Linked DNA regions of Oryctolagus cuniculus. The protein of the gene in region 1 binds, or shares a complex with, the protein of each later gene. Links are inferred from orthologs where the notes say so. Each region holds a gene or a part of one and is shown on either strand. Other genes may lie near its edges. The genes, in order: GLB1 and CTSA.

What was found.
Region 2: the proteins of GLB1 (region 1) and CTSA are in contact, whole or in part, in a cryo-EM structure (PDB 7KDV), measured with the Mus musculus proteins. The link is inferred for Oryctolagus cuniculus from reciprocal best matches to the Homo sapiens genes GLB1 and CTSA. Residues at the interface, in NP_033882.1 of Mus musculus: Tyr198, Asp199, Arg202, His206, Leu229, Thr233, Leu234, Gln235, Asp236, Leu237, Lys258, Phe259, Glu260; in NP_001033581.1 of Mus musculus: Glu29, Asp31, Ala37, Lys38, Gln39, Pro40, Ser41, Phe42, Arg43, Tyr107.

The regions. Positions count from the first base shown.
Region 1 is NC_091435.1:169,534,442-169,538,243, reverse strand, and holds part of GLB1 (beta-galactosidase), read left to right. Parts: intron 1-427; coding exon 428-670; intron 671-3,802.
Region 2 is NC_091442.1:13,517,172-13,521,073, reverse strand, and holds the start of CTSA (lysosomal protective protein), read left to right. Parts: upstream 1-1,594; 5' UTR 1,595-1,747; coding exon 1,748-1,801; intron 1,802-1,982; coding exon 1,983-2,161; intron 2,162-2,310; coding exon 2,311-2,422; intron 2,423-2,584; coding exon 2,585-2,635; intron 2,636-2,731; coding exon 2,732-2,818; intron 2,819-3,054; coding exon 3,055-3,210; intron 3,211-3,514; coding exon 3,515-3,606; intron 3,607-3,902. Other genes in the region: NEURL2 (neuralized-like protein 2), read right to left, coding at 645-1,386. UniProt on the Homo sapiens protein: Protective protein appears to be essential for both the activity of beta-galactosidase and neuraminidase, it associates with these enzymes and exerts a protective function necessary for their stability and activity.

The DNA.
Region 1 (3,802 bases):
CAGTTCACTTACTCTCCCTCCTGTCTCTCCCAGTTCACTTGCTCTCCCTCCTGTCTCTCCCAGTTCACTTGCTCTCCCTCCTGTCTCCTCCCAGTCACTTGCTCTGCCCTCCTGCGTTCCGTCTTCCTTTCTAGCAGCGGCCCTGAACCCAACACTGAAGGCCGGGGCTCAGGGTCAGGTGCTCCGGCAGCTCAAACCTCCCTTCTGTAGAAGCGGGAAATCGGGCCTTTTATGGCGACACCCTGACCTCTCAGAGTGTGGGAAGTTCGCCCCTTCCGGAGCAGGGACTCAGCCCTCAGCCAGATCCATGTCACTTCGATGTCCCTCGTCCCCTGCTGGGGCCTTTTCCCAGGAGTGCAGGACCAGGGTGCAGAGGCCCTCAGGCTGTCGCCAGCCCCCTCCTCACTGTGCTAATTCTACTTTGCAGGGCTTGATTTCCAACTTGACCCTGGGTTCCTACATCCTCACAAACTGGACCATCTTCCCCCTGGACACCGAGAGGGCAGTGAGCAGCCTCCAGGGGGACTGGGGTGGCTGCCAGAAGGACGCCAGGGCCTGCAGCCCCGGGAACTACACACTGCCAGCCTTCTACACTGGGAACTTCTCCATCCCCAGCGGGGTCCCGTCCCTGCCCCAGGACACCTTTATCACGTTCCCCGGGTGGACCAAGGTAGGTGTGGGAACTCCAGGAGGAGTGCTGATGACATGCTGAGTGACGGTGCGGCACCGAGGGTTTCTGTGGGCGTTCACTCGTCTCCCAGGCGCAGGGTCGTGGCAGGACCTTAAGGATTCGAGGGCCAACTTGGTGGTGTCACTATCTGGCCCATTTTCATTGACCGACCACTTCCGTTAGTGAGCGATGACTTTGCTGCTTCCTCTAAGAGTTGAGGCCTCTTGTGCCCTGAGTCGAGGGACGTTTCTTGGTCGTGAGGAGATTCTGGCCCTGGGTAAGGGCGACTCGTGGCGAGAGTCTGCTGCTTCTCCAGCCATGGCAAGCTCTGTACGTCCAGCTCAGCCCCGCCTGCACGACTCTTCTCACCTCCCCATCGCTCTCTCTCCTGCTCTGAAGACGTACGTGTCTTCATCAACTCCCTTTCAAGTCCCGTGTCCATTCTAGACGATCACTTGTTCAGGTTTTTATTCGGTGCCATGTGCTAAGGATACACTGATGAATGAAACCAGACACGGCCGCTGCCCTCATGGAACTTCCGGTCTAGTGGAACAGGTGGCCCTGTATCATACAGCCACACATTTTTTTTTTTTTTTAAACAGGCAGAGTTAGAGAGTGAGAAAGAGAGACAGAAAGAAAGGTCTTCCTTTCCATTGGTTCACCCCCCAAATGGCTGCCACGGCCAGCATGCTGCGCCGATCCAAAGCCAGGAGCCAGGTGCTTCCTCCTGGTCTCCCATGGGGTGCAGGGCCCAAGCACTTGGGCCACCCTCCACTGCACTCCCTGGCCATAGCAGAGAGCTGGCCTGGAAGAGGAGCAACTGGGACAGAATCCGGCGCCCCAGCCGGGACTAGAACCCGGGGTGCTGGTGCCGCAGGTGGAGGATTAGCCTAGTGAGCGCACACTGGCCCAGCCGCACAAATTAAACACAAAACCGCATCTGTGAAGGGTGCTGAGAGGGGAGGGCGTAGGGTTGATCATAACGGAGGGGTTTAGACTTGTCAGGAAGGCCAGGGAAGCCCCTAAGGGAGTGGTGTTTGAGACATGAGGGGTGAGCAGCATGGCACAGAGGGGCCCTGTAGTTGAAAGGGAAGTGGTAAATGCGGAGACTGCATCCAAGTGTTGTCATTATGCTGAGACACACGCAGTAGAGGAGTGACGTGGTGATGTGGTGTGGTGACGTGACGTGGTGATGTGGCGTGGTGACGTGACGTGGTGATGTGATGTGATGTGGCGTGGTGACGTAACGTGGTGATGTGGCATGGTGATATGACACGGTGATGTGGCGTGGTGATGTGGCGTGGTGATGTGATACAGTGATGTGACGTGATGTGGCATGGTGATGTGACTCGGTGACGTGACGTGATGTGGTGTGGTGATGTGACACGGTGATGTGACGTGGTGATGTGGCAAGCCCTCCGGCCCCAGTATGCAGAACGGGTTGGGTGAGGGCACTTGCAGATTCAGGTTGACCACCTAGGGAGCTGGTCCGTTGTCTGATTGGCCAAGATGGAGGTGACATCGGCTGCCTGGACCGTGTGTGACATTAGATGAGTTGCGATGGGGGAGGGTGTGTGATAGGGGGGGCCGGTTGGATGTGGCGGCTCGAGTAGAGGAACTCGTCTCACAGAGCCCTTGGGGTCCTGCGCTGGGCCCAGGGAGGGAAGCAGCCTCAGAAGGGGACTTGGGCTGGGAGGGGGGACCGGGACCGTGAGTTCAGGTGCAGACAAATGGAGTCCCGGGCTGTCTGGGTCATTTGGGCTGCTCCAGGAACACAGCAGAAAGTGCAGCTGAAGCGAGCAGCAGACCTGTGTCTGGTCCCTCCGCGGGACGCTGCCTCGTGCGCTGCAGGGCCTTGTCTAAGAGCGCTCACCGCACCCTGGGCGCTGCCCTGTGGCCTGATCGTCTCTCCTCCGGAGACCGTCACATGACCATGAACTTGGGGGAGCACAGCTGAGACAAGGTCCTGGCGGGAGGCTGCTGGAGCTGTGGGCTGGGGAGTCGGAGGAGGAGTCTGGACGGGGAGGGTGCGTGTGCAGTCCTCCATGTGTGGCTAGTGTGGGCGCCATGGGAGGAGGAGGCCCCGCAGGGAGCGAGCGGCAGGAAGAGGAATGAGGCTGACCGGCGAGGGACACAGTGACAGTGAGGCGGAGGGGACAGCGGGGGAAGCGCCGTTTGTGCCGCCAAGAGGGTAAACAAGACGGGCACGGTCTTCCTGCTGGACCGAGCAGCAAGGAGTCCCCGGGGTCGGTGGAGCGAAGCCTCTGCCAGCCCACGGCACTGTGCTGAGCAGGCGGGACGGGAGGGAGCCCGGAGCAGGCCAGCCCACGGCACTGTGCTGAGCAGGCGGGACAGGAGGGAGCCAGGAGCAGGCCAGCCCACGGCACTGTGCTGAGCGGGCGGGACGGGAGGGAGCCCGGAGCAGGCCAGCCCACGGCACTGTGCTGAGCGGGCGGGACAGGAGGGAGCCCGGAGCAGGCCAGCCCACGGCACTGTGCTGAGCGGGCGGGACAGGAGGGAGCCGGGAGCAGGGGCAGGGGCGCTGGAAGACTCTTCTTTCTCTCTGTAACCCGGGACCTTTTTTACCCTTAATGATTATGGGGTTTTTAAAAAAGATTGATTTGAAAGGCAGAATGGCAGAGAGAAAAGGAAAGAGAGAGAGAAAAGAGAGAGCGAGAGAGAATCTTCTATCCACTGATTCACAAATAGCTGCCGTGAGCCAGGCCAAAGGCAGGCATTGCCCTAGCGTCCTGACAGGCATTGCCCTAGCGTCCTGACAGGCATTGCCCTAGCGTCCTGACAGGCATTGCCCTAGCGTCCTGACAGAGATCTGGCTCTGAGGGACGGGAAGAAAATACGTTGACAGCTGGAAGGGGAGAGGGCAGATGACACAGGGGGTTAAACAAATGCTTTTATTTATTTATTTTTGCATTTTACTGATTTCATCTACCTGAAAGGCAGAGATCTTCCACTGCTGCCTCACTACCCAAGTGCCCACAACAGCCAGAGCGGGCCATGTGGTCATCCAGCTCTTCCGTATGGGTAGAGGACCCAAGTGCTTACGCCATCATCCACTGCCTTCCCACGTGCACTAGCTGGAGCTGGAAAAGAGCAGCCAGAACCCAGACTGGC
Region 2 (3,902 bases), on another chromosome or scaffold:
CCCACTCTGCCATTCCCCGGGGCGGGTCTGTATCAGCTCTCAGGCCCCGCTGTCTCACCGGGGTGCCCACGGGGATGAGGTCTTTCACAGCGCCCCCACCCCGTCTCTATCCTAAACTCAGCACACTCCCTCTCCCCCGATTCCTGGCAGCTTCTGGGGCCGGGGGTGGTGTCTACGCGGCCTGCGCTGGAGGCTGCGGCCCGGAGCGGGCTCTACTTCCCTGAGTTCATGAAACACCATCAGGGATATAAACTCGATTTTGGGGGGCTCTAACGAGCCTCAGGCCAAAGAAGCCCCGAGTCGGGTGTGGGATGTTCCTCCAGCTGAGATGCCCGACCTCTGAGCGTTTTCCTAATGAGGAAGCACCCAACTCTCCAAGAGGCCCAAGATCTAAAACCATTTTGAAATCCCCGCACTAGGTTGACACAGAAGGCAGCGCCACAACAAAGCGGGAGCCCTAATCCATCTGCCCACGCGGGTGTGCTGTGGCCCAGAGCCAGGAGGGACTTTGTGCAGAATCACAAGGAGAGGGACAACCTGTGGCCAGTGCTGGACAGAGGGGCCTCGGCCTAGCCCGCTGGCCGGGAAGTCCCTGCGCCTGGCCAGGAGGGGTCGCTGCTGCCCAGGGCGGGTGGGATACCTACAGCCATACTCGAGCTGGACCAGGCGCACGCTCTTGGTGGAGGCAAACACGTCCACCACCGCGTAGAGGGGCTGGGCAGCGGGCAGCCCCCGGGCGCTGGGGCCCATGTCCTCGCCGTTGATGAGGATGTGCATGTCGGCGGTGCCGTCCCGGCGCGGGCAGAAGAGGACGCCCAGGCGGCTCCGGCGCGCGGTCGGAGGCAGCACGTTCAGCTCGTAGAGCTGGTCCAAGAGGTGGCTGTAGAGGCCCGGCCGGCTGCGGCCCACCAGGCGGTCCCGCGGGATGCGGAACTGCTCGACGCACAGATAGGGTTCCACCAGGAGCGCCGGGGGTCGGCTGGGGGCCAGTGCCTCGGCCGCCGGCTGGCCCTCCCGGGGCACGCGGTTGTGGTGGCGCGTGATGGCGAAGACCCAGGTGTGGCCGAGGCTGACCAGGTCCGGCAGCGAGAACTCGGGCACGACGGCCAGGCTGGCGGGGTCCAGCGCGGTCAGGCCGAGGCGCAAGTGCCCGCACCAGCCCAGCTCCTTCTCCTCGATCTCCACCAGGAACACCTGGCCCGGCGCCAGCGGCTCGCGACTGAAGCACACGCCGTGGGCGAAGCTCTCCACGCGCGTGGCCCGTGTTCCGGAGAGGTCCACGCGGATGTTAGCGCCGTGCACAGGGTGGAAGCGGGTGGGAGGGGGCTCCGGGCGTGCGGGTCCCCAGGATGCGGCCAACGGCACGGGCTCGGAGGCAGCAGCCATGTCCCGGCCATGAGGCAGGGGGACAGGCGCCAGGGGCTATTTTGGGCGGCGGGAGGACGTGGTGACCGCGGAGAAACCATGTAAGGCATTCCCCCTCAGCCCGAGGCTCTGCCCGGGGGTCCTAGCGCCGCTTGCCCAGCCATCCAGCTTGGAACTGAGCCCCGGGAGGCTGGAACACCTGACTGGTCCACACCCAGGTCATCTGATCGCAGGCGCCCGGGCTTCGACCTTAGGCACCGGAGGACCTTGACCCAACGTGGCCCGCCCCCGCCCCCGCCCCCCACCCCATCCCCAGGGACCAAAGCGGGGGCCTGAGAAAGGCTGTCACGTGAGGCCGGCGCCCACGTGACTCGGAGTACACATGACTGCCTGTCTCCCGGCGCCTCCTGGAGAGCAGAGACGCGAGGGAGCAGAGGTGAGGGGGCTCCGGAGCTGGAAGTGGTCCCCGAGCCCCTGGGTCGGGGGCGGCGGAGGCTCGGCGGGCGGAAGCTTCCCGGGCCCGGGCGCCGCCCTGTGCTCCCCAGGGGCGGCGGCGCGGAAGTGCAGAGCAGCCGGGGCGCGAGTCCGCGACCGGCGCCCGCGCCTTGCTCCCGCAGATGGCCCGCGCCGCGCTGTCGCCGCTGTTCCTGCTGCTCGTCGCGTCCTGTGCGCCCCGGAGCCAGGCAGCCCCGGACCAGGACGAGATCCAGTGCCTTCCGGGGCTGGCCAAGCAGCCGTCTTTCCGCCAGTACTCGGGCTACCTGCGAGCCTCCGACTCCAAGCACTTCCACTACTGGTCTGCCGCCCGGCGCCCAGGACGGGCTGGGGAGGGGGGGAGGCGGTGCGAAGCCCACCCGGGGGAGGGGGAGGGGAGGGACGGGGCTCTGGGGGCGCCTGGGAGCCCCTGCGCCGGGTCCAGTCCTGCCCTGCCCTCCACTCCGCCAGGTTTGTGGAGTCCCAGAAGGACCCCAAGAGCAGCCCTGTGGTGCTCTGGCTCAACGGGGGTCCCGGCTGCAGCTCTCTGGACGGGCTGCTGACCGAGCACGGCCCCTTCCTGGTGAGTAGGCGGCGCCGGGGAAGAGGGAGAGGAAGACTCCGGTCTCCTTGTCCTTGGGCCTCCCTGTTTGCCTCTGCTGACTCGGCCTCCCCGGACGAGGGGAGGGGTCCCACACTGAAAGGGACTTCTGGGACCTCCTCAGCCACCTCTCTCCCTTCTCAGATCCAGCCGGACGGTGTCACTCTGCAGTACAACCCCTATTCTTGGAATCTGGTATAGCCGGAGCCCGGGGCTTGGTGGGCAGCGGGCGGCACCCGGGCGCTGGGATGGGCTCGGGGACCCTGTCACCTCTTGCCTCCTCCCCTCTAGATTGCCAACGTGTTGTACATCGAGTCCCCGGCTGGGGTGGGCTTCTCCTACTCCAATGACAAGGTTTATGTAACCAATGACACTGAGGTGAGACTGGCAGCAGCTTTCTGGCCCAGCCCCGCGGGTGGTCCAAACTGTCATGGAGCAGGTGCAGAGAGCTGGGCCTTGGAGTCCCGGGCCTGGCTCGGCCCCGGGCTGTGTGGCGCAGTCAGGGCCCAGTCACTTCCTCTTGCACACACAGGGCGGGGGTTGTGGTCATGACCTCCGAGGTCTGTTACAGCCAAAGCCCTGCTGACTGCCTGCCTGCCTCCTGCCACCCCCAGGTTGCCCAGAACAATTACGAGGCCCTCAAAGATTTCTTCCGCCTCTTTCCGGAGTACAAGGACAACAAACTTTTCCTGACAGGAGAGAGCTATGCCGGCATCTACATCCCCACCCTGGCCGTGCTGGTCATGGAGGATCCCAGCATGAACTTGCAGGTGCGGGGCAGCGGCAGGAGGCAAGGGGAGCTGCGACCTTGGCATTGGCCGGATCACACGGGCTGGCGCCCCACCCAGCCCGGCCTCCGCCGTGCTCTGCCTGCCACCAGATTCCCTATCTCTGCATGGGGCGCTCAGCTGCCAGGCTGCCCACTCCCTTCCTGACGCTGCGTGGATTTTCCCACCCTTCCACCCCCACAATCCAGCTGGGGTTTCAACATCTGGATTGCAGCAGGGCTGGGTACGTGTCAGGCACAGCCCTGCCCACTGTGCAGATGAGCTGAGCACCCTGCCTGTTCCACAGGGGCTGGCTGTGGGCAATGGCCTCTCCTCCTACGAGCAGAATGACAACTCGCTGGTCTATTTTGCCTACTACCACGGCCTTCTGGGGAACCGGTATGGAAGGAGGGGGATTGGGCAATCTCTCGGGCGGGGTGGGTCAGGATTGCAGCCCTCGTGCCAAATGTGTGACAACCCCAGCCCTGCCCTGGTTTGTGGGTGGGGGGTGGGGTTGTGGGCAGGGCTGGATGCCACAAGGCTAGCCTGCAGGTCACTTCACAGGGGCGCAGGAGTGCTGGCCGGCCCCCGGGCAGCTTGCTTGGAGACCTGCCTGTCACGCCTGTGATGGTCTTCCTCAGTCCCCCAGATCAGACCTGATGGGGCTTGGCAGGGAGACGGTGGGTGGCCGCCGC